7 linked regions of the Sus scrofa genome follow. The protein of the gene in region 1 purifies or fractionates together with the protein of each later gene. This does not show direct contact. Links are inferred from orthologs where the notes say so. Each region holds a gene or a part of one and is shown in the gene's direction. Other genes may lie near its edges.

Region 1 (3,500 bases):
AAAAATAATAGGGGGATTAAACAAAACAAGTACAAAGCAACATGGATAGAGAAAAAGGGAAAAAAGTAATGAAGAGTAAGATAAAACAATGTCACAAAACTCCTGGAAGTTGAGAAATGGATGGAGGGCAGTGAGCAACTGAGGGATGCCAGTGAGGAGCAAGATTGGCTGTGCAGGGACCAGGGAAGGCCAGGGAACAAGGGGACGGAGACCTCAGGGTCCCACTCCGCCAGGTGCTGGCCCTTGCCCATGCTCCAGGGAGACCTGGTGTTTAATTGCTGGCGCACTTGACAAAGGGAAGCTTCGGGGGTGGGGCCCCTGGGGATGCAGGACAGGGTGAGGCACCAGCCTGCGGTTGGGCATCATGAATGAGAGGGAGTCTGGCAGGAGCCAGGGAGTCCCTGCTCAGGAGACGCTAAATGCATCAGGGACTCTCTCTGCGACCCAGGACCCCAGTGCCTGGCCCTGCTCCCCGGCACCCTGAAGATGGAAGCTCATGACGGCCCTGGCCCCCCAGAGTGCGGCTTCCTAGTGCCTCGTTAGGATCAGACAGCCATGGATCATCAACCATTTGGGAAAACTTCCACACATGGGAAAGAAGGAACTCGAGAACGGATGCAATAGAGAAGAGAATGTTAGCATCCTCAGGTACAGAAAAGTAGCTGCATCCATGACAACTAGGATACCCTGCCAATGCTAACAAAAGGGAGCCGAAGAAGAATGTTCTTGGAATTAGGAAAAAAAAAGAAGAAAACTTCAAAAGAAACCTTAGGTTTTAAGATCATCTCAAGGAAATATTCTAGAAGCAAAACAGAGGCAGAAGGAGAGAAAAGATGGGGTAATTTGAGGGTTAATCCTGGAGGCCCAGTGTAGTATGAAGGGATTCCAGAACGAAAACAGAGTAAACAGAATGGAGGAGATTAACAGAGTATAAGATGGTCTCTTGGCACGAAGGAAACTATAATCTCTGGATTGAAAGGGACCCCAAGTGCCTTGAACAATGACTGAAAAGACCCCACATCAGAGCTTGTTGTCATCACATGTCAGAACCCTTGAGAGAAAGAGAGCTTCCTGAAATACTCCGGGTTGCTGGAAAAGCTTGGGGATTCAAGAGCACAGCCCTGGGAGCCAGAAGGCAGTAGTCTCATCTGACATGATCCAAGTATGAAAGCAGAAAAAGTTGTCAGGAATGGAAGGAAAGGCGTAGGAGCTGTGCCTCTGCCCATTCCAGGCTGGAGCTGCAGGCTCTGTGCCCAAGAGGGCTGATCTCCAGGAAAGAAAACCACCTGTGGAGCATCCAACACACTGAACCCATGCAGAGAACATGATCGAGAAGCTATGGGAGAAAATGGGGAAAGTTAGCACATGAAACAGGGCAGCAGTCATGCTGCAGAAACAGAGACACTCTGCAAGGAAGTAAGTCCACTACTTGGCCCAGCCAAGATGATGTTTATATCGCAGCGCTAATGGAAACACTGAAGGTTGTCTGCACCAAAACTGGAATTTTTGAAAGAAGGGGAGGTAAGTGTTACTCTTCCAGGGCAAGAAATGAACTGTAAACCGTCAAGAAAGAAGGAAGGAGCACTGAGGGTTGGTTGCAAGCTGTCTCCGGAGAGCAGGCCGGGCTGTGTGGCAGGGGGTTGGGAATCTTCTATAGCCTTTTGGAATTACTTGATTCTAAGCTGTGGGCATGTAGTCCCGTAACAAATTAAAATTGCTTAATTACAAACATAGCTCCGGTGATTGTGCTCTCCCTGCTCCTCAGTGAGCACTACCCCAGAGCTGGAGAGCCTGGAGGTGGCCGGGTGCCCTGTGCTTCCAGCCTCGTGGGCCTCACAGAGCTCGCACGGCCTGTCTGCCTGCCTCATAAGCAGAATTTGAGCGTTCACTCTGCATGCTTTTCCCTGAACACAAGTGCGGTGCTTTCTGTGTCCTCGGCGCCGTAGCGGGGGTGGTTCTGGCCACACGTGGTATTTGGCTCTCACCCTGTTCCTTGGGCCAGGCCCTGCCTGCCGTGCAGCCGCTGTCCTGCACAGTGAGGGGCAAGACAAAGGCCCTTTATGGACTTTCTGGCTCTGAAGCTGACCCAGGATGTTAGCTGGGATCAATCAAGTTTTTGTTTTCTCCCTGGCTCCTAGGCATCGAAGTCGATATTGACGTGGAACATGGAGGGAAGAGAAGCCGCCTGACACCCACCTCCCCAGGCAGCTCCAGCACAGAGGACAAGTGCAGCTCTCAGCCGAGCAGCTGCTCTTCCGACCCTAGCAAGCCGGACGGGGAGGTGGAGGGCACGGCCCAGTGTCTGGTGGAGCAAATGAATAAGATCGCCCTGGAGTCGGGGGTGCAGCCTGAGGCAAGCATCCTCCCGCCCCATCCCCTGAGGCTGCCAGTGTCTCCCAGCACCCTAAGCACAGCCCCTCCCCAGCACTCACGGCTAGTGGGCCCCATTTCTGTTGCAGAGTCAAGTTGGTGTTATCCAAGTCATTCTGTGAACCCTCCACGAGAACTCTAAAGAAAACATATTCCTATAGCCTCTTGCTGGTCCTCCATGCCCCACCTGTCCCAGGAATCGAGGCTGTAGTCAGGTGGGCCTCTTGTTCTTGTGTGTTCACAAGGCGGGGTTTGTTCCAGGAACAGATGGAGTCTGACAACTGTTCAGGAGGAGACGATGACTGGACCCATTTATCTTCCAAAGAGGTGGACCCGTCTACAGGTGAACTCCAGTCTCTACAGATGCCTGAATCTGAAGGGCCAAGCTCTCTGAACCCTTCCCAGGAAGGACCCACAGGGCTGAAGGAAGCGGCATTGTACCCACATCTGCCACCAGGCAAGTGATCTCAAGCAGTTTTGTATTTCTGCCTTTTCTGTTGACAATATTCTGCTTTTAGCAACACAGAAAGATGTCATGTTCTCTACTGTGGGGCCTGTCTGTTGACATGAGAGAAAAGTAGGGGGTGGTTTTCTTCCCTGTGTCTACACTGAGCCCTAGTGAGCTCAGCTCATTTTAGTAATTCCTTAAACTTAACGCCCAGGCCTGGAATTATGAAGGCAGATGTGCTACAGAGGTGGCACTGGCTCTGGTACTGCCACTGCCACACACTACTGAAGGTGGACTTAGTCCATCGTCATCGTTTCCCCACAGAAAGTGCCACCCTGAGAGCAGGGGTCACAGCCACGGTTCTGCCAGGAGCCAGGCAGGAAGTCACTGTGAGAAGTGGGTGATGTGGAAGGCAGCGGGGCTGGCTGCAGAGTATGGCAGCCTGGAGAACACACACTGAAGAGGTGACAGACATCCTGCCGTGGCTCATTACTGTCACATGACAGTAATGTTTAAAACAGTATTCAAGGGGAAACCCATCTGGGCCAAAATTTAGCCCTTGGGCTACTAGGAGCTACCTTCTCTGCCTTTGGGCGCAGAGTGGCAAACTATGACCTATGAACCAAGAATGATTTTTTCATTTTTATAATGATTGGAAAAAAGTCAACCTGGGAAAATTAGA
Region 2 (4,260 bases), on another chromosome or scaffold:
CAGGGCCTCCAAAGGGACACCACCTTTCATCTGTTTCTCGGAATAAACTGTCCATCCCAAGTTCAATCAAACACTCCTCTATTTTTTTGTTTTATCTTTCCAGAAACTGTCCATGATACTCCCTTAATGAACTATTCCAGTGGTTAACAAACTTCCCTGTTTGCAAGGGGTTTTGTTTGTTTTTGTTTTTTCTGTTACGTCCCAGTCAATTTCTCTTGATCCAGTTATTGAAAGTTTGAGAGAGGCTGGCTATCCTACAGTTTCACATAACTTTCAGAAATGGGTACAAGGCTATTGCAGCAGCATGCTTGCTGAGCTCTAGTACTGCCCTTCATCCAATAGCTGTGTGATGCGCAAAAAACTTAACCTCTCTGTACCTCAGTTTCCCACCCGCTCAGCCTGTCCCTCTGAGCCATGGTTTCATCCTTTGGAGAAGGTGAATGGCAACATCTTCCCTGCCTAAAAGGGGTCATCAACTGCTGGATGACTTGGTGGGCATCTCTGTTATGGGACATTTCACTGTAATTACTATTTATTTCTGCACTCTCCCACTGGACAGTGAGCTCTAAGGAGGAAGCTGTCTTTTTTCCGCGACCTCTAGCATCTAGAGCGGTGCCTAGCTCATAAGCCAAGGAAACGGAGATTTTAGCCAAGATTTTCTATGGAGAATTTTTGGCACCCACCTACAAGTCCAGGTCTCAGGATGCACTCCCTTCTCTTCACACCAGTGTCAGATGGGGTGGGTGGCTGAAGCTGGGGACTAGGGACCAGGGACGCTGAGACTAAGCTTTTTTGGACGAGGTTTTCGAAGGGGCCGAGAACGTGGTCAGACTCAGTCGCGCCCGAGGGGACAGAGAAGGGATGATGATACATCGCTGTACTCCACTTCGGCCCCGTTTTCGTTCGCTATTTTATCCTAGCGTGTGGGATCGGGCTCAGCTCCCTGACGCTTAGCCGGAGTCACACGACGGTGGGCGGCGCCCGGGAGTCCCCAAGAGCACGGAGAGCGCCGCGGATGCTGGCTGCGCGCGCCCCCCAGAGCCCCGCAAACCGCGGAGAAGTCCTGGCGGGGTCAGCCCAGGTGGGGGCGACGCGCCTGAAGAGGCGTCCGAGGAAACATGGCGGCGGAGGGAGAGGGGAGGCCTCACGGATCGTCGCAGGCAGAATCGTGGCTCTGCACACACATAACCATCGAAAGCTCTCACGCACGAAGGGCAGAGCTTCCTTGCTCTATGGACGGCCGTCGTGGAGGACTACACTGGGCAGCCTCAGGCGACAGTGCAGTGGTTGAGTCCAAGTCAAGATGGTTGCAGCCTGTTTGGAGCTCTCGGAAAGCGAGAACCGGACCTGTGGGCGGGGCCCAGAGGTGGGGCGGGGCCTGGGGCGGGGCCTTGCGAGGGCGGGGCCAGGTGCCGGGCTGTCTCTGCTTGTCAAAAGGCAGCCGCCGAGCCCTAGGCGCCGGGAGCGCGGAGCAGCGTGCCCATCCGCCGGACCAGGTGCGGACGTGGGAGCGGCGGGAAGGGGGGCGGGGGGTCCCCCAGGATCAGGATAGGCCGGAGGTGGAGGTGTCGGGGGTACTGGCCTGAGTGCCCAGGTGCAAGCGCTGGAGTCTGGGCAAACTTGGCGACCGAGATTTTGCCCTGAGGCTGGAGCACCGAGGGGACACTGAGGTCTGAGAAAGAGCCTAAGTTCGTGCCAGGTTGGCGAGGGGAGCAGCGACCCCCTCAGTGCTCAGCCGGCCGATCGCAGAAATGCTCCTCCAGCACAGTGCTCAGCACTTGGGCAACAAGAAGCATTTGTTTCCTTCTTCTGTCGGGCGCCTTGGCATGGACTGGAGGAATAAGAAAGGGAGAGATTGCCTCTCAAACAGTACTGAGGTCTTCTGGGGGTGGAGTGTGGTTAGCTTTGTTATCTTGTAGAACCCAGGTATGGTCCTCTGCGATGGTGGAGCCAGATCTTTTAAGGAGAGTTGGTTTTTCTCTTCTTTTCTTGACTTTTTTTTTTTTTCTTAACCAATTATTTTAGACCTGGTTGACCCTAGTGCACTGGACTTGTTTTTTTCGGAGGAGCTTGTCCATTGATGTTCAGAGGAAATCAGATACAAGCATCTAATTGAGGAGGGGGCTCAGGGAGTAGTTCTGTTTGGGGAGTGACGGCCCCCACATCTGTGTGTGGTAGGCGAGGAGGATTTCAGGGAAGTGTCTAGGAGCGAACATCATATGGTATCTGAGAAGCAGTGGACACTGCGCTCTCCCCCCATGGACCGCTGAGGCTGAGACACAGGCTGCCTGGGCTGGGAGAGCCCTGGGTCTCTGAGCCCAGGCCCTTCCCGCATCTCCTCCTCCTCCTTCTCCTCCTTCTCCTCCTCCTCTTCCTCCTTCTCTGTGCGGTGAGTGAGTCAGCCTCCTGTCTGGGCTCAGTTGCAGCCAGAGGGGCCAGAGCCCAGGCAAGCAGTTGGGCAGGCATTTTCTGAGCATTGCAAAAGCTCTCCTGGGCAGAGTTCAGCTCTGCCCCAGCTCTCTGCTGGAAGTCTGGCTTCCTCATGGCCGATGGTTACCATTTCTGAAGGGGACACCCAACACAGGGATGATTATGGGATGGCTGCAATATGACTCCAGAACGGGTTGACTGGGAAGGGATTGTGGCTTTGTGGTAAATCCACATCTCTTATTCTCCTAGGATCAGGAGGTGCATCCCAGCATGGCAGACGTTTCTAGCCCCTCATTCCCTTTCTGCCTAGCGATCTTGTGAGCCGCCCATCTCTGTTAGGGAGCTGGGTGTGCACAAGAAATCAGGAAAGATTCTGGGATGAGGGAAGCCATGGTGTTGGCAAAAGTTTTAAGTCAGGCCAGGAAGTGGGGGTGGTTTGCTGAGGTGGAAATGGTTTATCTGGACACTAGAGCCTCCATTCTATAAACCAAGAGTGTCGGGGAACTTTTCTCATCTCTTCCCTGTCCTTGTGCTGGAGGATCCTTCTGGAATGGTGTCAGGGTTGCATGCAGCCAGACCCGGAGGTTTTTAAGACTGCGGATTTCTCTCTGGCTTTTGTTTTGGGTACTTCAGATCCTTGAGTAGAAGTAGGGGCCTCAGAGCTCCCGTCCCCCCTACTCAGTGGCCTCTGTGGACCCATTTGAGATGAATCCACCACCGGCTATGGGGCTGACTCAAACTACAAAAAAGCTGGGGAATTCACAATCTGTGCTCTGGCTTGGCCCCTCATCAGCCACGACTTGGACCCCTTCCAGGGTAATGGATAAGAAGGGAAGGAAAGTGAAAAAGGATAAGAAAAGAGGAGAGTGGGACGAGGCAGGAGGGAAAGAATAGGAAGCTTTCCTGAGCCCTCGCAGCTCTTCAGTCAAGACCATCAGACTTGACTTGTATAAATACTGTGAAAGGCCTGATGCTGTTTGACGGGCCCTGGTTCCTTGTGTTTACGGTTTCTCAGTCTTCCTTCCTTATTCAACCTCAGAATTGATCTCCTTTGGGGACTGAGTCCCAGAGGAAGCACCAAGAGGACCTCTTGCACCCCAACCTTCCACTCCCAGAACAAATAGCCAGGGTCCAAAGCCGATGTCTTCCACATTTGGAGGAAAGCCTGGGGTCTGGTGGGCCAGACCAAGTGGTTATCCAAGACCGGAGGAGGACTTGCCGTTGCTCATTTCTTTACCTTACACCCTGGGGAGGCAGCAGCCATCCTGCCGGAAAACCAGAGTTTGCTAGAAACCTGCCAGTGCTTATGTCCAGCAGGTGGGTTCTGTGACCGAAGAGCCAGAGTCAGGAGCCCCTGGAAGTCCAAGCTGGCAGGCGATGCAGTGTGTCGCTGGGCAGGATGAGTTATAGGGTTCCAGCTTAACCCTGCCCAAGTCTGTCTTGGATGCAAGTCAAGAGAAGTGAGGAAATGACAAGATTTGCTGAAAAGCCTGCTCTAGCCTGGTAGTAGACCCTCCGAGGGATGACAGGGAGCAGGGACCCACCAGCCAGACAGGGCCTCCTCCCTCTAGATGGTCTGAGCCAGGGCCGGGCCGTAGCTAGCGGCTCCCTCCACTACTGTCCATTCTCAGGGGATCCAGCTGGGTGAAAGCCAGCCCAGCTGTTGCTCTGAACCACTCAGGTCTTGCTTCTAGTTACGCTTTTCTCTGATGCTCCACGGACCCTCTCTTGTGTCAGTGCCCTCTTGGATGTGCTAGAGAGAGTGACTATATGATTTATTGCCCACACTAAGAGGCTTTCAAGAGTGAAAGGGGTGTGATTAATAGTTAT
Region 3 (4,281 bases), on another chromosome or scaffold:
TCTGCTGTATGCTAGGTGAGAATAATCTGGGATTGCACTATTTACTCGGATGTTGAAAGGAACACAAATGCCATCAGGATTTTTTTTTTTTGGCCATGCCCGTGGCATGAGGAAGTTCCTGGGCCGGGGGTTGAACCTCAGCCCCAGCAGGGACAACACCAAGTCTTTAACTGCTGGGCCACCCGAGAACTCCTGCCATCAGTATTTTGAGATGGACTGCCATAGGGTGTCAAAGCCCTAGGAAACCACACTGAAAAAAAAGAGTATCTTCTAGAGCCCAGCCTGAAGTTTTAGATGAGTAAAGCTCATGGGGCTGCTAGATTTCACTCTAGCGAGAGACCCATCACTGCTGGCATTGTATTGGGTGCTCACTGCATACTAGATGCTTACATAGGTTAATTTATCCTTTAGGGTGGGTTTCTTTTGTTTTTGTTGTTATTTGTTTTTTGAGGGCCACACTTGTGGTATATAGGAGTTCCCAGGCTGGTAGTCGAATAAGAGCTGCAGCTGCCGGCCTATGCCACAGCCAAAGCCACAGCAACGGCACCTCAGGACCTGAGCCCCATCGGTGACCTACACCACAGCTCACGGCAATGCCGGATCCTTAACCCACTGAGCGAGGCCAGGGATCCGACCCATATCCTCATGAATACTGGTTGGGTTCTTAACCCGCTGAGCCACAAGGGGAACTCCTAAGATGGGTATTCTTAACCCAGTTTTACAGCTGAGGAAGCTGAGACTGAGTCGTTAACGGACTGACCAAGGTCACGGAGATGGAGAGATGCAGCCGAGATGCAGCTTCAGGTGGTCTGACCTCAGGGTGAAACGAAGAGGGGAGTTGAGTTTCTCAGGCCCTTACCAGCTTTATGCACCGGTTGCACATGTGTCTCCCTATATACTACGTTTACTGAAGGCAGCCTGCATGCTGCTTGGGACACAGTTCTCCACACATGGTGAATAGACAGTGTTTACCAAATAGAACAATAAAGTAACACAGGAGGGCTGCCATGCATAGAAATCTGTAGCTTTTGGAGTTCCTGTCGTGGCTCAGTGGTTAACGAATCCGACTAGGAACCATGAGGTTGCGGGTTCGATCCCTGGCCTTGCTCAGTGGGTTAAGGATCCAGTGTTGCCGTGAGCTGTGGTGTAGGTTGCAGACACAGCTCGGATCCCACGTTGCTGTGGCTGTGGTGTAGGCCAGTGGCCACAGCTCTGATTCGACCCCTAGCCTGGGAACCTGCATATGCCGCGGGTTCGGCCCTGGAAAAGACAAAAAAGAAAAGAAAAATCTGTAGCTTTTAGTTGTTTGCACATGAAACTATATCAAGGAATAAACCACTCAGAAAATACATTTTTTTTCACTTAGTGTCCCCTGAAAAAAATAAAATCTGATCGCTACTGTGGCGGATACTACAACTCCCCACCCCAAACACGATCTTCTTTTGTAATATTATCAAAAGCCTTGCAGCTTTTTCACAATCTGGAAGAAACAAGGGGTCGATTCCTTTAATTTCAGAAGCATGTAGGTCCATTTGTAATAATAAAAAGCTTTTTTTCCAAAATTAATTAACAGAGTTTCATTTATAGGACTGACTTCGATATGACGCATCTCTTGAACGAATGGCAATAAACTCTGGCAAACTGAATCGTGGTAACCATAGTAACGGGGGGGGAACCCTCTCGCAGTTTCCTGGGACGCACGGGCCGGAACGCTCTGAGGACATTTGGCCTGTTAGGCACGCCGTAGTCGCGCTGCATGCTGGGCCTCGGCAATATGGCGTCCTCCTTGATGTGCTGATGAGCGGAGTTTCACTGTAGCTTCAAACCAGAGGGCAAAAGTCCCGAGACCCAATAAGCCCACATTACGCATTTTTCTCCACGGCTCCGTGTCGCCCGTTTCTAAGGACTCGTTCTCAGGGAGGAGAGGGCCACGGGGCCGGAGGCCAGGACCAGCCAGGCCGCGCGGACTCGGGGCTGAGGAGCCGGCTGCGGGCGAGCACGATGGGCCGGTCCTGGCTCTGGTTGCAGCAGCTCCGGCGAGTGCGGGACCCGCAAGGCTGAGAGTGGCTGCAGGAGACCCGAAGCTCTCTGAACCTCTTCCCCTCGGCCGGAGACCTCAGCCCGGTCGGCGACCCGGCACCAAGAGCGGGCGGCCTGCCTGTCCTCGGATCGGCTGAGGCGTTGGAGGCCGAGGGCAGGGTCATCGTGAGGCCTGGAGTCTCGCACGCCTTTGACAGCTCCGCTCGCAGCCCCCCGGGAACCGACAGCCGCGGAAGCAGCCGGTGGCTTGGGATCTGGGCCGCCTGTGTCTGTGCGGAGCTCCTTGGGTTCCCTCATTTCCCACCGCTCTTCCCACGCCTCCGACTTCCCGCGCAGAGTTAGAGAAGGATCGCAGACTTTTTGCCTGAGTGAGGGTCTCCGCACACTCACTATCCGTTTCATTTTCTACTCCTCCCTCTTCTGTGTATTCGTTCGCCAATTCTGGTACACACTGGTTTTCAAGGCTGGAGGTTCTCGAGCGCTTGCTGCCCAGGACTCCCCCACCCCCTCCCCCAGTGATGGAGTCCGAGATGCTGCAGTCGCCCCTCCTGGGACTCGGGGAGGACGATGAGGCCGACCTTACAGACTGGAACCTGCCTTTGGCTTTTATGAAAAAGAGGCACTGTGAGAAAATTGAAGGCTCCAAGTCCTTAGCTCAGAGCTGGAGAATGAAGGATCGGGTAAGTGGATCGCGCCTGCGCCCCTTGGACCTTGGTAGTTTTTTTCAGGGAAGTTAGTTTAGAGCCAGAGGAGTGTCCTTGGGAAAGCGGCGGTATTTTTTCCCAGCTGTGTGTTTCAAGTCAACCAAAAAGCACAAACCATTTCAGACTCTGGGTCTTGGCTGTAAGTGGAAAAGGCTGTTTCGGTTCGCAGTTATTCCCTGGAGAGTTAATTCGGTACAAACTAAGTTCTAATTCAGACAGTCCAAGTTAAGTATGTTAGAAAACCCAGCATTGTCACATGCCCCTTGATATACTTGGCACTGTTAACACTTAGAGGAAAAACAGCTTGGGACATAATATTTGTACCCACGTGGTTAGTCTACTTTTGTGGCTAATTTACTTTTTCGGTCCAAGCTAGGGCAAGTGCAGAAGTCCAGTATCGTATGCTAGGAAACAAGGTTACTGGCAAATGTTCAGGTGGTAACAAGTTCATGCGTAGTTATTTCAAAGTTACGGTGAACTCCATCATAGCCTTCTAAACAGCTTTCTGGAATCCAGACTGTCCTCCTTTTGTGTGGTGTCTTGTTACTGTTACTTGGAGACGGAATTTCTCTAATAGTGCAGTTGGAGTATGACGGGGTGAAACGGGGGTTTAGGTTTTAGGGGGTCTTCGTGGTGCTGGGATGTGGATAGCAACTCACAAGCAGCTTACAGTAAAGGAAACAATTTTGTTAAATCTGACCTTAATTTGGAGAACTATTTTCCTGGTCTCCAGAGCAGAAGGATGGGACTCTCTCATCTGTACGTGCTTAGAATTTGTCTCTTTGTGTTTCGTTTTCTCCTTCTTTAAGACTCTTTGTTTCTTTGAACATTTTGGTATAAGAGAGGTATTTGGTGTTATCATGTAATGTGGTTGCTCTGGGCTTATGAAGATGTTTATATAAGATTGTTGTTTTTAGTAGGTGATGTTGAACATATATGCGCTTATCCTCATGGTCATTCTAGGTGGTCAGTCACTAGTAACTGGTGCTTCAGGTATTACCTGGCTTCTCTTTAAAAGGTTAGGAAAATTTGATTGATACAAAAGCAGTCTAAGGAGTAAAAGAGTTGGTCACTGGAAGAGAATGTATAGAGTCTGTCTTATGGATATGTTTCATACTAAATAGATAGTTCAGAGCTTTCATGGTTGCAAAGCATATCTCAAAAAATATATTTTAAAAGTAACTGCATGGAGTTCTCTGGTGTCTCAGTGGGTTGAGGTTCTGGGGTAGTCATTGCTATGGATCGAGGGATCGAGTTGCTGCTGTGGCATAGGTTTGATCCCCAGTCCTGGAACTTCTGCATGCTGCAGGCATGGCCAAAAAAAAAAAAAAAAAAAACAACGTAATTCTGTGGTCATCTTTTTTCTCCTGTTTGGAGGCCCTTCCTTTTTTTTTTTTTTTTTTTCCCTTTTGACATGTAGTTCCCTTGGCTACCTTAAACCCTTGGTCAAACTGTTCAAAACTGCTTAATGGATATATTTTTTATTTTTTAAAAATGTTTTTTGTTTGTTTGTTTGTCTTTTTAGGGCCACACCCAT
Region 4 (4,098 bases), on another chromosome or scaffold:
CCCTGAAGCCCCCTCCTCCTCCCTTCATCTTTAGAATTACCAACTCCAGAGACCCCTCCACACACAAGCTGAGTGCCTGTCCCCACCCCTCCTAGAGATCTGTAATCTACCCAGTCTTAAGGACATTTTCTTCTGGGCCATGAAAATGCCCCCTTTGGTGGCTGGGAAGCTCCTCCCCTGTTTCTCCCCATTTTCTTTTTTTTTGGTCTTTTTGTCTCTTTAGGACCGCACTTATGGCATATGGATGTTCCCAGGCTAGGGATCTAATAGGAGCTTAACTGCTCCTCAATTTTCTGTCTAGCTCTTAGCTGCGGTTTCATGATTCTATCAGTGGTTCTTTTATTTCCCCACAGGATACATTTCTCCCAAACAGGCTAGAGGTTGAATTGGAGCTGCAGCGGCAGCCGTACGCCACAGCCACAGCAAAATCAGATCCGATGCCGCACTTGCGACCTACACTGCAGCTCACGGAACGCCAGATCCTTAACCCACTGAGCAAGGCCAGGGATGGAACCTGCATCCTCATAGATACTAGTCGGGTTCATTAACCAACAAGCCACGACGGGAACTTCAACCCACGCCTTTGTTTAAGCTGTTTCCTTGGGCGGCCGGAGTTCTCCCTCCCTCCACCTGTCTGCTCTTTCCTTGGGACCAGGACGCTGTGCCAGCTCCCCAGGGTCTTTCTTCCACTTTCCAGGCACCCCTGGGGACGCACTCTCCAGCCCGGGCTCCCTTCCGGTCTTGTCAACCTCTCCATTCTCACACTTGACACACTCCGATCATTTCACACCCAGCGGCATGCTCACATCAACAGAACAAGGAGTCCGGAGACCACGAGAGTATCTGAGTATGTTTCCATCCAGAACGAGAATGTTTTTATTAAAGCGTAATTTATTTTTGAAAAGGCAATGTATGTACTTGGTGCAAAATCTAAAAAGAAGCTGCCTCTCAGATTCGCCCCCAGGCCCTGGATTCCCCTAGGAACTGTGTTACTCTCTTCCGGTGAATCTCTCCACGTATGTTCAAGCCTTGCCCTCGACCCCTGGGTGGCCCCTGTGCTGGGCACCGAGCTCCTTTCGTCGGAGCTTGAAGTCTCAAAATCGGTTGCCCTCAGGCTTCCCGCTCCTTTCTTGCAACTCCGGGACCTCAGTGCCAGGACGCACTGAGGACCAGACCTCTGCGCCCCCCCCGCTCCCCCTGGCGGCCGCTCCCCGCGCTGCAGCGTCCTGGGCCCCACTCCCCCTGGCGGTCGCGCCCCGCACTGCAGCGGCCGCACGCCCTGCCCCGCCCCGCCCCGCCCCGCCCCCCGCCTCGGCGGGCCCGGCCGGGGGAGGGGTCGCGGCGGCGGCGGCGGCGGCGGCGGCGTCAGCGGAGGCCGGGGCGGTGGGAGTCGAGGCTCCGGAGCAAGATGGCGGCGCGAGTGTTGCGCGCCGGCGGAGCGGCCTCAGGCGGCGGCTTCCTGTGGCGGGCCGCCCCCTGCAGCCTCCTGCCCGGGCTCCGGTGAGCAGCGCCGCCCTTTCCGGGAGCGGCCGGGGAGGGGCCGCCGCGGGGCGGAGGGCGCGGGGTCCTCGGCGCGGGTCTCCGCCCTGGCTCGGTAGCGTTCCCATGGGGCAGGGCCGCCGGGGCTGTGGGGCGGCTGGGCTGAGGCCGCGGTCCGCGTGGCGGGGCGAGCCGGAGCCTCGGCAGGGTCGGAGCGCCTGCTGCCGGGCCGGCGGGGCTCAAGGTCATGGCGGGAATGACACCCAGCGCCGAAGCCACGTCCGCGCGCGGAGCCGGCCCGGCCTGTTGGACCTTGACCCTGCGCGACCCGGAGTCGTGGGGCAGCGGCCAGCGCGTGGCTGAGGCCGCAGGCCTTGAACTTGGGCCTCGGGGTTCCTGCAGGGCGTCCTGAGAAAGCTGCTCGCCCGCGCAAAGCCTCAGTGTCAGCATCTGTAAACGGTAGTGGAGGTACCTACCACTCACCTCCTAGGTTGCTGTGAAGAAATAAAATAATACATCGGCCCCGGCGATCCCTCAGTGGAGATTGGGGAAGTAGCCAAGAGGTGTCCGCCTTACGGACAGTTGTTGACTTGCATTGAAAAGTAGGTAGTGGATCAAAAAAGTATGTACAGTTATCAGCACGAAGTAGGGGGTGGGTTCATGTTTAAACTTTTTTCCTAACCTCATTGGATTACATATTCGATTTTCTGAGTCCATCCCGGACACAGCCATGTCCTGTTTGCCCAGTTGAAAAACCAGAGCCCATATCAACCAATTTACACGTCCATTTGCTTTCCCGGTTTATTTACGTTAGGTTATATGAATTTTATCTTGTTGTTTATCTTCAATAGTGAGCCTCTAGAAAATACAGTTGGCATTTCAAAAAATGGAAAAGGGAAGGAAGTACCTGTTAAAACTCTTAATGTGGGCCAGCTTTATATGATAACAGCTTATTTATTTAGTGTAATCCTAGTAGCAATCTTAAGAAGGAAGTAATAGGATCTACATCTTAGAGATGAGAAGGAACCTCAACCTGCTGAAGACACGTGGCTAGAAAAGGCATTTGAACCCAAGTTGGTTACACTTCAGGCCCAGTGCCCTTGTAAGGACTGCTGCTCAAGTTGTGTTACAAAATTGGATGTTTATGTTTCCAAGTTGATCAACAAATCAACCCTCTTTTATTTTTATTCTGTTATTAAGTATCTACTGTTTATTTTTCCCCACAAGTGATAGAAGCCCATGAAATTGATATTTCCTTTTTTTCAAAAAAGACAGCTGAGGGAGTTCCCCTTGTGGTGTAGTGGAAATGAATCGGACTAGGAAACTTGAGGTTGCGGGTTTGATCCCTAGCCTTGCTCAGTGGGTTAAGGATGTGGCGTTGCTCTGAGCTGTGGTGTATGTTGCAGAACGCGGCTTGGATCTGACGTGGCTATGGCTGTGGCCAGTGGCTGTAGCTCTAATTTGACCCCTAGTCTGGAAACCTCCATGTGCCATGGGTGCGGCCCGAAAGAGAAAAAAAAAAAGCTGCGCCTGAAGGTGTTCACTTAAAGGGCCCAAGGTCACCTGGGATACCCCAGGTTCCTGCTGGGGCCACATGCTCTCGACACTGGGGTCCTTGTCTCTATCCAAGGTCCCCTGTACCTTCTGACTACTCCTTCCTGGGCTCTAGTCTGCCTTAACCTTTAACTGCCTCAACTTTAGGACTCAGTCTAGACCCAGTCAATTCATTGATTCTATCACATATTGAGTGTATACGGTGTCTTTGAAGCCCGCTGGACCTGAGCGTAAGAGCTGTGGTCGCTCTCCCCAGGAAGCCGTGGCTGAGATGAAAACCCATAGAGACTTACAGATGGAGGTAGGTGCCATGGGACAAAATCAGGGAGCTTCCCACATGAGGTCATGGAAGGCCTCTCGGACAAGGTGATGTCATACTGAGACCTGAAGGGTAAGTGGGCATGAAAGCCCTGAAGGGGAGGAGTCAGACATGCTGGGAAACCCCAGAAAAATCTAGGAGGCAGGAGTGAAAGGAAAACAAGACAGGTGGCAAGGAGCAGGGGCCAGAAAATTCCAGGCCTTACAGCTATTTAGAGAGTTTGCATTTTATTCTGAGCCCTGGAAAACATTTAAAGGTATAAGCCCTAGGGTAACATGCTCTGATCTACATTTTTAAAAGATCAGTCTGGAGAGTTCCCGTTGTGGCTCAGTGGGTTAAGAACCTGACATGGTATCCATGAGGTTGCAGGTTCCATCCCTGGCCTTGCTCAGTGGGTTAAGGATCTGGCATTGCTGCAAGTTGTGGCATCGGTCACAGATGTGGCTCAGATCCCACGTGGCGGTGGCGCAGGCCAACAGCGGCAGCTCCAATTTGACCCCTAGCCTAGGAACTTCCATACACTGCAGGTGTGGCCCTAAAAAGGAAAACATAAAAAATAAAATACCAGTCTGGCTTTGAAAGGGGGACAGAATCAAGGTAATGGCCAGCGGGGAGGATGCTGGTGCCATTTACCTAGAGCTGTTTGTTGCCTAGGTGAGCGTGCCGGCCACCTGCCAGGTGCTGTTGGGAAGCGTCAGTGAATAAGGCACACGAGGTGCTGGCCACTGAGAGCTTGCTAGGAATTC
Region 5 (3,500 bases), on another chromosome or scaffold:
TGTAAAAGTGAGAAGCAGCTAGGTTTTTTACCAGAAGTTCCTAGATACTTACTAGAAAGAGGACATCTAGATATTAAGGAAAACCTTTTTATTTATTTGTGGATAAAAGAAAGATGGGAGGAGTTCCCTGGTGGCTCAGTGGGTTAAGGATCCAGCATTGTCACTGCTGTGGCACAAGTTTGATCACTGGTTCAGGAACTTTGGCACACCACAGGCAGAGCAAAAAAGAAAAAGAGAGAAGGGTCCATCATTCTAAGGATGTGGAAAATGGAATGGGGGTTCCGAGGGGCCCCTGGTCTTTTAAGGCAGGTGCCAGTTGTACTTGGCAAAGCCTTTTATGAGCATGTGGCTGCTGGGCCATAGGGTTGTGGAGGGCGGCACAGGCTGGGAGCACGAAGCACCTAGGTGGTGGGTATACTGGAAGGCCATAATCCATCCTGATATCTGACCACCTTCCAAAGAGACTGTCCTGGAGGCTCCATTCTGAACTCTCCTGGGAAAACTGCTCTGCACTCACCCTCAGAGATGGTGGCCTTCATCCCTGAGTGCAAGACATCTGGAGAGGATTGTAAAATTTCTTCCTGGAAAGTCAGTACCCAGAATGCCCCTGCGAGACATCCTTATCTCAGACTTTCCCAGGCTGGAGGGAGCCCCACAAAGAAACACTTGGGTTTGATATTTGCTTGCATGCATCTTCTCTGCTTACCCGAGGACCCCACAGCCTGGGCCACAAACGGGTACCATTCTTGATCAAACGGGAGTGCGCCAGCAGGGGGCCTGGAGCGGTGAGCCCCTCCCCAGAGCCAGGCCTGCTCCCACATTTGAGAAAACAAACCCAGCTTTCCAGGGTCTGGTGGCTGGTTTCTCTGCCCGCCGTGTTTAGACGACCTGGCCCTTCAGGCCAAGATAAACTCAGGATGTCGGGAAGTCCAGCAAGACACCACAGGTCAGAGTAGACGGTGTGTTAGAATTTTTGTGTGGGTTTGGTTTTGGGTTTTGTTTTCGTTTTTTGTTTTTTTTTTTTTTTAATTAACTCATGGGTACCTCATTCTACACAGACAGCTACAGACAGTTCTTCAAATTCGTCTCAGAAGAGGGAACAACCTACGCGGACGATCTCCTCCCCCACATCCTGTGAGCACCGGAGGATTTATACCCTGGGCCACCTCCACGACCCTTACCCCACGGACCACTATCACCTCGAACAGGTGAGCAGCCATCTCATGCCTCAGAGGCCAGGGGGTGGGTGGCTTGAGATTCTGGAACAGCCTCCTCCCCTTCCCGTTCAGCCACGTGCCCGAGCCTAGGCCTCTTCAGTTCTCCCGCTTTGTACCCCCACCCCCTCATCGGAGGGGTGGGGGCGACTCACCCTTACTCCGAGTGCTCTGTGTGCCAGACACCTTGCCAGACCCTTCACATGCTTTATCTCCTTTAATGCACACAGGTTACCCGCAAGCTGGTCCTCTGCATCCCCACTTTATAGATGAGGAGGCTGCGGCCTAGGGAGGGTCCCTAGTGGCACAAGATTCAAATGCCCGTCTCTCCTCACCCAAGGTGCCACACTGCCTCGTACCTTTCTCTGTCCAAAGGGCCTCCTGGCTTTGTGTGAAAGCACAGAGCCAAGCCATGATCAGGACCACAGAATACTGTACCCTTGGCTCAGGCACCCTGGCATCTTGGGCTGCAGACCCCGGCTTTCTTGGGGAGCTGTAGCTGGAATTCAGTAATTCAGCAAATATTTACCAAGCGGCTGTTTTTCAGAGAGGTTCCCGAACTGTGGGCCATAGCCTGGGGCCCAGGTAGTAAGATGTGGCCACCAGTCTGCTTTGAAAAGAGAAGAAGCATGAGGCACCTGGGGTTTTTAACGTAAAGATAGATATATATGACTCTTCTTTCCAAATCATCTAAGTGTGTGCTTCCTAATATTTTGGCACTAAAATGTTCTATTTTAAAATCACATTAAGGTAGCAGTAAATGGGAACTGACTTTTTGACTCTCCTTACTTTGCAAAATAAATCATTAGCAAAGTCTATGTCAACTCCCAAGATTTGTTTTGAAGTACTGCAGGGTTGTGATTTTTCCAAAGTCAGGGAAACTCTGACATCAAGAATTTGGCAGGAATTAGGGCAACGCCTGCAAGACATGGCCCCTGCCCTCCAGGAGCTCACGATTTTGTGGAAAGTGATGGATACGCCTAATTACCATGTGATAAACTCTATGACAATATTATAAGGAGGACATTGGCAACAGGTATCAAGTGTGTCCTATGTGACAGGCCCTGTGCTGACACTGCATAGATTCTTTCTCTTCATTCTCACAATAGCCCTGTTCAGTTTGATAGTCAAGAGAAATGGAGTCTGAGGCTTAGCAATTTGCTAGGAAGTTTCCACTCCAATGGGTTTATTCAGAGCTATGCTCCTCACTCCTTAAAAAGCCTTTATGCTCATGGAGTCCCCGTTGTGGCACAGTGGTTAACGAATCTGACTAGGAACCATGAGGTTGCAGGTTCGGTTCCTGGCCTTGCTCAGTGGGTTAAGGATCCGGCATTGCCGTGAGCTGTGGTGTAGGTTGCAGATGTGGCTCAGATCCCGCGTTGCTGTGGCTCTGGCATAGGCTGGCAGCTACTGCTCCGATTTGACCCCTATCCTGGGAACCTCCATATGCCATGGAAGCGGCCCTAGAAAAAAGGCAAAAAGACAAAAAAAAAAAAAAGCCTTTATGCTCAGAGGGCTTCAAAGGTGGAAACTCTCAATTGTCTTCCACAACTGGGATGCCTGGTGCAAGGCAGGCTTACCTGAATCCACTATTTAGTGCCTGTCTCTCTGGACAAGGCACTGGTGCACACCAGAGCCAGCCTGACTGCAGAGATGACTGATTGACCCTAAGGGAAAACGCAGGTTGGTCTGAAGGCTAAAAGGTGTGGCTCTGAATCAGGCCTTCCCCCAGGGCTCAGATCTTAGCTCTGCTGCTATGTGTCAAATAGATCCTGGCAGGATTTGAACCCAGGCAGTTGGCCTCTGGAGCCTGCACTCTTAGGTTTTGCATATCCCAGCATCTTACCTTCCCAACCAGATGACAAGGTCCCTGTGAGCCTCATAATTTCTAGTGTCCACTTTTGCTTTTTTGAGCATGGCCCAAAGTGAGATATGCATTTAGTATTGTGGCCCAGTGCACGTTACAGATGTACACAAAGGTAACAAATGAACATACCTTAAAACATGCAACACACTCCAATGTTCTTTTGCTTCACTGGAAAAAAAAAAAAAAAAAACAGCCAATCTTACAAAAGAGAGCACACTGTTTCAAAACAGGTGAAAGTAAGCCATTAGAAATCAGGATAGCAGTCACTGTCACCTTAGGTGGTCAGAGGTCACTGAAGGGAGATGAGGATATCCCAGGGAGGGCCTCCAGTTCTGCTTTTTCGATCTGGGCATGTCCAGCTTCTGAAAATTCACCCTTGATTCTTAACAGTGTGTATACTTCCCCGGACAGAGGGTAAT
Region 6 (3,980 bases), about 53 Mb from region 1:
GTGGTGCAGTGGTTAAAGAATCCGACTAGGAACCATAAGGTTGCAGGTTCGGTCCCTGCCCTTGCTCAGTGGGTTAACGATCCGGCGTTGCCGTGAGCTGTGGTGTAGGTCGCAGACGCGGCTCAGATCCTGCGTTGCTGTGGCTGTGGTGTAGGCCGGTGGCTACAGCTCTGATTGGACCCCTAGCCTGGGAACCTCCATATGCCGCGGGAGTGGCTCAAGAAATAGCAAAAAGACAAAAAAAAAAAAAAAAAAAAACAAAAAAAAAAAACAAAGAAATATGAAAAGATTAAGGACAGCTGGATGAGAAGCTGGATGAGAGGGTGGTTGGAAGGATATGTGGTTAGATAAATGCATGGAAAGAAGGATGGATGGCTGTGAGTGTCTACTGGATGGACAGATGCACGAGCCCTGGAGGGAGGTAAGGTAAGATGGGTAGAGAGATGAATCAGTGGATGGAAGGATACTTGGGAGGATGAATGAGTGTGTGAGTGAGTGCGTGGATGAATGGGTGGATGGTTCCAGGTGCCAGCCTGAGGCTGGATGATAACAGGTGGGTCAGTGGCTGGTTATCATTAGCCTTCTCTGAGTGGTCCTGATAAGAATCAAAAATCCACCTGAGGCTGTGAACTTCCTTCTCCTTCGAGGGAAGAAGAATGTGCACTTCCTCTCTTCCCTGGGAAGAATCACAAGCTCCCCATCATGGGCAGGGAAGCACCACTCTCCAGGGCAGGACCTGGCTCTGTCCCAGCTCTTCTCCCAGAATATCCAGCTGCCTCTGAAAACCCAGGGAGAAGAGCTCCCCAGCCAGATGCAAAGAGAAACAGTAAAGAGGAGAAGCCAGAGGCTGATCCCAAAGGGCTGAAGTTTTACGACTCAGTCATTCCCTGCTGCGTCCAAAGGCTGGGCTCCCAGTCGCCTCTGGAGCGGAAAGCCGGTGCCTCCCGGTACGATGGAACCCCGCGGCCCCCCGGGGCACCCGCTTTGGCACCCGGTGTTACCATCTCCGTGGAGAAGGGGGCGGGGGCAGCGAGGCCAGCGCCAAGGAGAGCCGGTACGTCTTTAAACTTCTGCCGGCTGCTTAGTCACAGCCCCCTCGCTTGGGTGTGTCCTCCGCTCGCTCCCTCCCTCTTAGGTCACTCACTCAACCCTCGAATAAAAACTGCACCCAACTTCCCAGGCGCCCTCACTGCCAGCCGGACCCCAGCCTCGGACAGGTTCTGGCGCCCTGCTCGTCCAGTGCTCTGCCGGCCCCCGCCCAGCGCCCCGGCCCTTCCATGTCACCCGCTCACTCTCTCCGTCGTTCCGACGCCATGGACACCTTTTGGTGGCGCGCAGCTTGGGGACTCTGCCTCGTGCAGCTGAGCCTGGCGCAGATCGGTGAGTGCCTGCCGAGGCGGTGGGAGGGAGTGACAGGAGTGGCCGGGACCCGCCGGCAGTCGCGCGGGTTGAGTTGGCCCTGGGGCACCTGAGTCAAGTGGGCGGCGAGCGGCTGGGATTTGGGGAAGGAGAGCCGGGCACGGATTTGCGCTAAGCTGGTGGAGAGCCTGTTGGTGGAAAGCACCGTTTTGTTGAAAAGAGAAAGAACGAAGAAAAGTTTGCTGGGCAGGCTGCCGGCGGTGGCGCGCAGTTTTGGGTGAGGTTGTTGGAGCCCTAGAAGCACAAGGCAGAAAGTAACTGTATTCCTGGGCGCGCACAGCCCGCGCGTCTGGACTAACAGGCTCTGGTGCCCAAGGGCGCTGGAAGCCCGGCTGGGCTGTGGCCGGGCAGAGCTGGGCAGGGCAGGGACAGGGGCTAGGGCAGAGGCAGGGCTGTTGGCGAGGTGGCCATAGAGGTGGGCACAGTGGCTATGTGTGAGGGCTGGTGGCCATGAGCTTTCTAGAAAGGGGTCCTGGGTTCCAAGGCTCTTACAGTTGGCTCCAGTCACTAAGGATCTTAACACTGTGGGAACCTGAACCAGCACTGTGGCAAGGTTCTGGGTCTCCACGAGGTGCCAGCCTGGGTCAGGGAGTGTGAATAGGAGAGGCACTGACTGGGCCAGCTGCTAGGTCCTGGCAACCTCCTGCTTCTGCCGATCAGTTAGGGGAAATCCAGCCAGCAGCGATGTGGCTCGTATTCCCTGCCTGGCAGCCTCTAGGCAGGATGGGGGAACCTGGGCACCAGGGTGGCATCAGGAATCCTGGATCTGGGGCTGCCAATATCCCATCCCAATAGGCTCCATGCCCTTCAGTGGCTGTTGGGGGGAGAGGCTGTGTGTGATGTATTGGTGAGGCTGAACTCCAAGCATTCCTTTCTTTTGTCTATAGAGGTACAGATAATTACATGGCTGATTTGGTTATCGCTAGAAAAATTAATTATTTTTCTTTTAAGAAGTGCCAGCTGGGTCATTAGAACAGCTCAACCTATGGTTAATTCCACTCAGCAAGTGTTTATTAAACACAACCCTGGGAGTACCAAGAAAGTAAAAGACACAATCCTAGTTGGGTGCATTAGAAGGACATGTGGGGATCTAAGATGTAGATTCCTCAAACAGAACAAAAGTAATCACCGATCATAATAATTAATATTAATAGGGATGACTGCACTAGCTACTATTTCTTATGCACTTTTGCTGTGCCAGGCACTGTGCTGAATTCTTGACTTGGGTTATCTCATTTCACCCTTGTGATGGCCCAGTGTGGTGTTGTTAGCCTTTTTTTTTTTTTTTTTTTTTTTTTTACAGGAGGGAAACACAGTGAAGCTCAGAGAGGTTAAGTGACTTGCTGATGTTCACACAGCCAGAAGGATGGGTGGTCGTGTGAACCAGACCCCTGAGCCTATTGCTTAATCAGAATATGTTAGGCTGGGTGTGTGGCATAGACAGACTCTCAGAAAAGATTTTATGGAAGGTGGGGTCGTGGTGGACCAGAGCCCTTAGAGGAGGCTTTCAAAGGCAAGGAACTAGACCTCCAAGGAGCCGTGGAAAGGCAGAAATGCTGGGGCGGGGAGAGAAGAGGGGAAGATTCCAGGGGGAGCCCTGAGCCTGGTCTCAGTGAAGAGGAACCAGGTTGGTGTCTCTGTGACCTCTAAGGAAGTTTATTTGTACATTATGTTCCTGTGTCATCTTCTGCTTTGTTTCTGAGAATTCTGACTCCTGACTCCCTCCATCCTGTAGCCCTGATTCTTCTTAAGGGCCCCATCCCCCAATATTCAGCACTGTCTTGACCCTTGAAGTTCCTCCCCAGACCAGCAGGCTCTCCTGCCCGGAGTTTTTGTGGTCCCTTTGGGCAGCATCATTTGGAGGAAGCGCCCAAAAGTGCCTGTAGCAATAACTGCTGGGGCCCAGGCTTTCATGTGCTTGTAAAGTTGTTTGAAAGGAACTGAGACTTGGAAAGGAGACGTGACTTAACAGCAGGCTTGGGCTGGGCAGGCAGAGAAGGGAAGGAGAAAGAGGAGGCGGGGAGGTTCTGCTGTTGCCCCGCTGCTAGTGGAGGCAGTGGGCTCTGGAGGACAGTGAGGAAACTGTGGGAAGGGGCGAGGCTTCGGGAAGGAAGAAAGCTCCCATCTCCCTACTGGAGAGCAAGAAGTGGCGATGTGGCCGAATGCACTCAAGCAGCATTGGACCCAGACTCTTTAAGCTGGAGAATAGATCTCTTGAACTGGGTGTCACAGTGGGAGGAATAAAGTAGCCCTGGGTGGCGGGCATTGGGGGGAGCCCTCGTCCCTCTCCTTCTCCTCTCCTCTGTGGGTGAGAGGTCATTGCTAAGGAATTTCACTCCTGGTGTTTAGAAAGAGGGGTGCATCTGACAGTAGTGGGGTTTGGGGGTGGCAGGCAGCCTGCTGATCCCTCTGAGCTTTAGAGACCCCCTCTTCCAGGAGTTGGACTTTGGCTGTGTTGTCCCAGGCAAAGAAGCAAGGAAGCAAAACTCCATCAGTGCTGAGGTTAGTTAGCATCAATTACTTCAGATGTTCCCCAAATAGACACACAACGGACATCTTAC
Region 7 (2,604 bases), on another chromosome or scaffold:
TCTTGGCTCCGGCCAGGTGTGTACTGCTTCAGCACAAAGGCCTGACCTCACCAGGCTGCTGGAAGGTGAAGCTGCAGGGGAAGGTGAGAGGTGGGCATCTGGCCCACACCCCTCGTGTCCCCCAGGCTTGTGGTGGCGGTGGAGGAGGCCTTCACTCACATTAAGCGGCTGCAGGAAGAGGAGCAGAAGAACCCCAGGGAGGTGATGGACCCCCGGGAGGCAGCCCAGGCCATCTTCGCCTCCATGGCCCGTGCCATGCAGAAGTACCTTCGCACCACCAAGCAGCAGCCGTACCACACCATGGAAAGCATCCTGCAGCACCTTGAGTTCTGCATCACGCACGACATGACGCCCAAGGTGGGCCGGCTCTGCCCCTGGCAGCCTTCGTCTGCCCCCAGTTCTGGCCCCTTCCTCTCCACATCCTTCTCCTGTCTTCTCTCCCTTCCTTCCTTCCCCTCCATCCTGCTCTCTCTCATCTCTACCTCCTTATAGTCTCTCCTTTCATCCGTATTCCATCCACCCCACCTTAGGTGTAAGGAGAGGAAGGAGTTGGGAGACCATTTTGAGAATGGCCGAGACCTCTTTCTCAACCTGTAGACGTTCTGGGATTTTCAGATCCAATGTCCCACTTTACCTCCCTCACCTCCGCAGATGCTCTCTGCTCTGTACTCTTTTTGAGCCACTCCTGCCCTTCAGCTCCACGGGCAGCTTCCTAGGATCCCAACCTCTGAGCCACCTGTAGGGAACAGGTGACGAAAGAAGTTGCAGTTCAACTGTGACAGCTTTCAGCTGGTGCAGACCTGCTGGGCACTGCCCATATGAGCAGAAGGAAGAGGGAGGGTGGATGAGGGAGGGCTTGCCCGGGCCGTGGCAGGTGCCAGGGAAGAGCAGAGGCTGAGGGGTCCGGAGAGCCAAGCCCCAGTCCTGATCTTGCTGGGGGCTCCGCTCCCGCCTTTATGAAATGGGTCTGAGGCAGGTGCTCCCTTTCCCACTCTCACCCTCTGAGACCGGATGCAGAGGGTGGGCTTGGGGACATCTTGGTGGTCTTTGGAAGCTGTACTGCCAGGGGGTAAAGGATGGTAGGTGCACGGGAGAGCTTCCTGTGACGTCCCCTCTCCCTTCCTCAGGCCTTCCTGGAGCGGTACCTGGCGGCCGGACCCACCATCCAGTACCACAAGGAACGCTGGCTGGCCAAGCAGTGGACACTGGTGAGCGAGGAGCCGGTGACCAACGGGCTCAAGGACGGCATCGTTTTCCTCTTGAAACGCCAGGACTTCAGCCTGGTGGTCAGCACCAAGAAGGTCCCGTTCTTCAAACTCTCCGAGGAATTTGTGGATCCCAAGTCGCACAAGTTTGTCATGAGGCTGCAGTCGGAGACTTCAGTGTGACTGTGCAACAGCAGGGGGAGTGGGAGACACGGAGGGGGGGCTCCTGAGGGTGGTGGTGGGGGCCCGGCTCTCAGGCGCTACCACCTTCCCGCTGCCACCCTTCTTCCTCTTGCGCTAGTGTTTTTTTTTACTTGAATGAACTGGCCCCCCCACCTGTCTGCTCCCCTCTTCCTTGTTGACCCCGTGTGAACCTGGAGAGACCATTCTGCTGTCAGCCGTCCCCGGGAAGTCCCTCTCTTTGCTCCCATCCTCCTCACTTTTGTATCTCGCCAGGCCCTGCAGAAATCAGTGCCTCTCTCTCTCTCCTTTCTCTGGGCGACCGTCTCTTCTGAAAGGGCACAGGGCCCACTCGAGCCCGACTCTCTTGAACCCAGGTTCTCCTAGCAGTTCTCTCCAGTGGCCCCTAAAAGGGTTCCTCGGGGTGGTGGGGGTGCTGACCTGACTCGAGAGGGCCGAGATGCCAAACTCCCCCCGGGCAGCGCTGCCCGCACCCTCCAGGTGACAGGTGGATCTTCTGCCCACTCACCCACCTGCAGCCGACCGGGCGTCCTCGGGCCAGGATGCTCCCACACGGCCCCAGAGTCAGGGGTCTCCCTCCAGGAATATTTGCTTCTAGCTGCTGGAGCCTCTCCCCCCATCCACACACTCAGAGCAAAGGGAAGATCCCATCCTTTACCCTGAAGTCTCCGCCTTCCACTTCGACTTTGTGTGGTCACGTGTGACCACGGGCAAACTGAGACGGAAACCCTCTGTGACCCCTTTTCCTAGGCCCTGGGGCGCAGTACCTTTCTTCTCATTGGTCTTTCCTAGGCGGTCCCTGGCGGACGGGCACGAGAGAGCCCCACGGACGTCCCTGACCCCTACCCTCTGCGCCTGCGTGGTGGGATGAGTCTCCTCCCCCTTCCCTGTGAAGGATGCCACGGAGACTCCTGGACAGAATTAGTGGCTTGCAGACCGCAGCCCACGCTGGCGGCCTCAGACAAACGTTCTTCTTTCTCTCACCAACCACCCGATGTCCTGCTGTCTCCTCTCTCAGCTCCGGAGACCTGTAGCCTCATCTCTTGTTTGGGGGGAAGCCAGCAGCTTCTCCTCATCCCCTGCCTTAAGTCCACTTCTTTGCCTCAGGGGTCTCTTTTCCTTGGCCGGCCAGGGTCCTCCCCCACCCCACCCCCAATTCCCATTCCCTCCCTGCCTGGTTTTCTGGGCTCTGGTCTCC

Evidence for each region.
Region 2: the proteins of SQSTM1 (region 1) and VDR purify together in Homo sapiens (affinity purification with western blotting; 3 studies listed by BioGRID and IntAct, with this or other methods). This does not show direct contact. The link is inferred for Sus scrofa from reciprocal best matches to the Homo sapiens genes SQSTM1 and VDR.
Region 3: the proteins of SQSTM1 (region 1) and RPTOR purify together in Homo sapiens (affinity purification with western blotting; 3 studies listed by BioGRID). This does not show direct contact. The link is inferred for Sus scrofa from reciprocal best matches to the Homo sapiens genes SQSTM1 and RPTOR.
Region 4: the proteins of SQSTM1 (region 1) and NIPSNAP2 purify together in Homo sapiens (affinity purification with mass spectrometry; 4 studies listed by BioGRID and IntAct, with this or other methods). This does not show direct contact. The link is inferred for Sus scrofa from reciprocal best matches to the Homo sapiens genes SQSTM1 and NIPSNAP2.
Region 5: the proteins of SQSTM1 (region 1) and SPRED2 purify together in Homo sapiens (affinity purification with western blotting; 3 studies listed by BioGRID). This does not show direct contact. The link is inferred for Sus scrofa from reciprocal best matches to the Homo sapiens genes SQSTM1 and SPRED2.
Region 6: the proteins of SQSTM1 (region 1) and CD44 purify together in Homo sapiens (affinity purification with mass spectrometry; 3 studies listed by BioGRID and IntAct, counting the BioPlex papers as one, with this or other methods). This does not show direct contact. The link is inferred for Sus scrofa from reciprocal best matches to the Homo sapiens genes SQSTM1 and CD44.
Region 7: the proteins of SQSTM1 (region 1) and VANGL2 purify together in Homo sapiens (affinity purification with western blotting; 3 studies listed by BioGRID, with this or other methods). This does not show direct contact. The link is inferred for Sus scrofa from reciprocal best matches to the Homo sapiens genes SQSTM1 and VANGL2.

The regions. Positions count from the first base shown.
Region 1 is NC_010444.4:78,753,999-78,757,498, reverse strand, and holds part of SQSTM1 (sequestosome-1), read left to right. Parts: intron 1-2,138; coding exon 2,139-2,353; intron 2,354-2,631; coding exon 2,632-2,827; intron 2,828-3,500. UniProt on the Homo sapiens protein: Molecular adapter required for selective macroautophagy (aggrephagy) by acting as a bridge between polyubiquitinated proteins and autophagosomes.
Region 2 is NC_010447.5:78,263,678-78,267,937, reverse strand, and holds the start of VDR (vitamin D3 receptor), read left to right. Parts: upstream 1-1,460; 5' UTR 1,461-1,496; intron 1,497-4,260.
Region 3 is NC_010454.4:1,989,045-1,993,325, reverse strand, and holds the start of RPTOR (regulatory-associated protein of mTOR), read left to right. Parts: upstream 1-1,481; 5' UTR 1,482-2,558; coding exon 2,559-2,720; intron 2,721-4,281. UniProt on the Homo sapiens protein: Component of the mechanistic target of rapamycin complex 1 (mTORC1), an evolutionarily conserved central nutrient sensor that stimulates anabolic reactions and macromolecule biosynthesis to promote cellular biomass generation and growth.
Region 4 is NC_010445.4:16,938,968-16,943,065, reverse strand, and holds the start of NIPSNAP2 (protein NipSnap homolog 2), read left to right. Parts: upstream 1-1,298; 5' UTR 1,299-1,408; coding exon 1,409-1,500; intron 1,501-4,098. UniProt on the Homo sapiens protein: Protein involved in mitophagy by facilitating recruitment of the autophagy machinery required for clearance of damaged mitochondria.
Region 5 is NC_010445.4:76,642,646-76,646,145, forward strand, and holds part of SPRED2 (sprouty-related, EVH1 domain-containing protein 2), read left to right. Parts: intron 1-1,058; coding exon 1,059-1,208; intron 1,209-3,500. UniProt on the Homo sapiens protein: Negatively regulates Ras signaling pathways and downstream activation of MAP kinases. Recruits and translocates NF1 to the cell membrane, thereby enabling NF1-dependent hydrolysis of active GTP-bound Ras to inactive GDP-bound Ras.
Region 6 is NC_010444.4:25,881,361-25,885,340, reverse strand, and holds the start of CD44 (CD44 antigen), read left to right. Parts: upstream 1-1,180; 5' UTR 1,181-1,277; coding exon 1,278-1,380; intron 1,381-3,980. UniProt on the Homo sapiens protein: Cell-surface receptor that plays a role in cell-cell interactions, cell adhesion and migration, helping them to sense and respond to changes in the tissue microenvironment.
Region 7 is NC_010446.5:90,054,098-90,056,701, reverse strand, and holds part of VANGL2 (vang-like protein 2), read left to right. Parts: intron 1-125; coding exon 126-357; intron 358-1,127; coding exon 1,128-1,388; 3' UTR 1,389-2,604. UniProt on the Homo sapiens protein: Involved in the control of early morphogenesis and patterning of both axial midline structures and the development of neural plate. Plays a role in the regulation of planar cell polarity, particularly in the orientation of stereociliary bundles in the cochlea.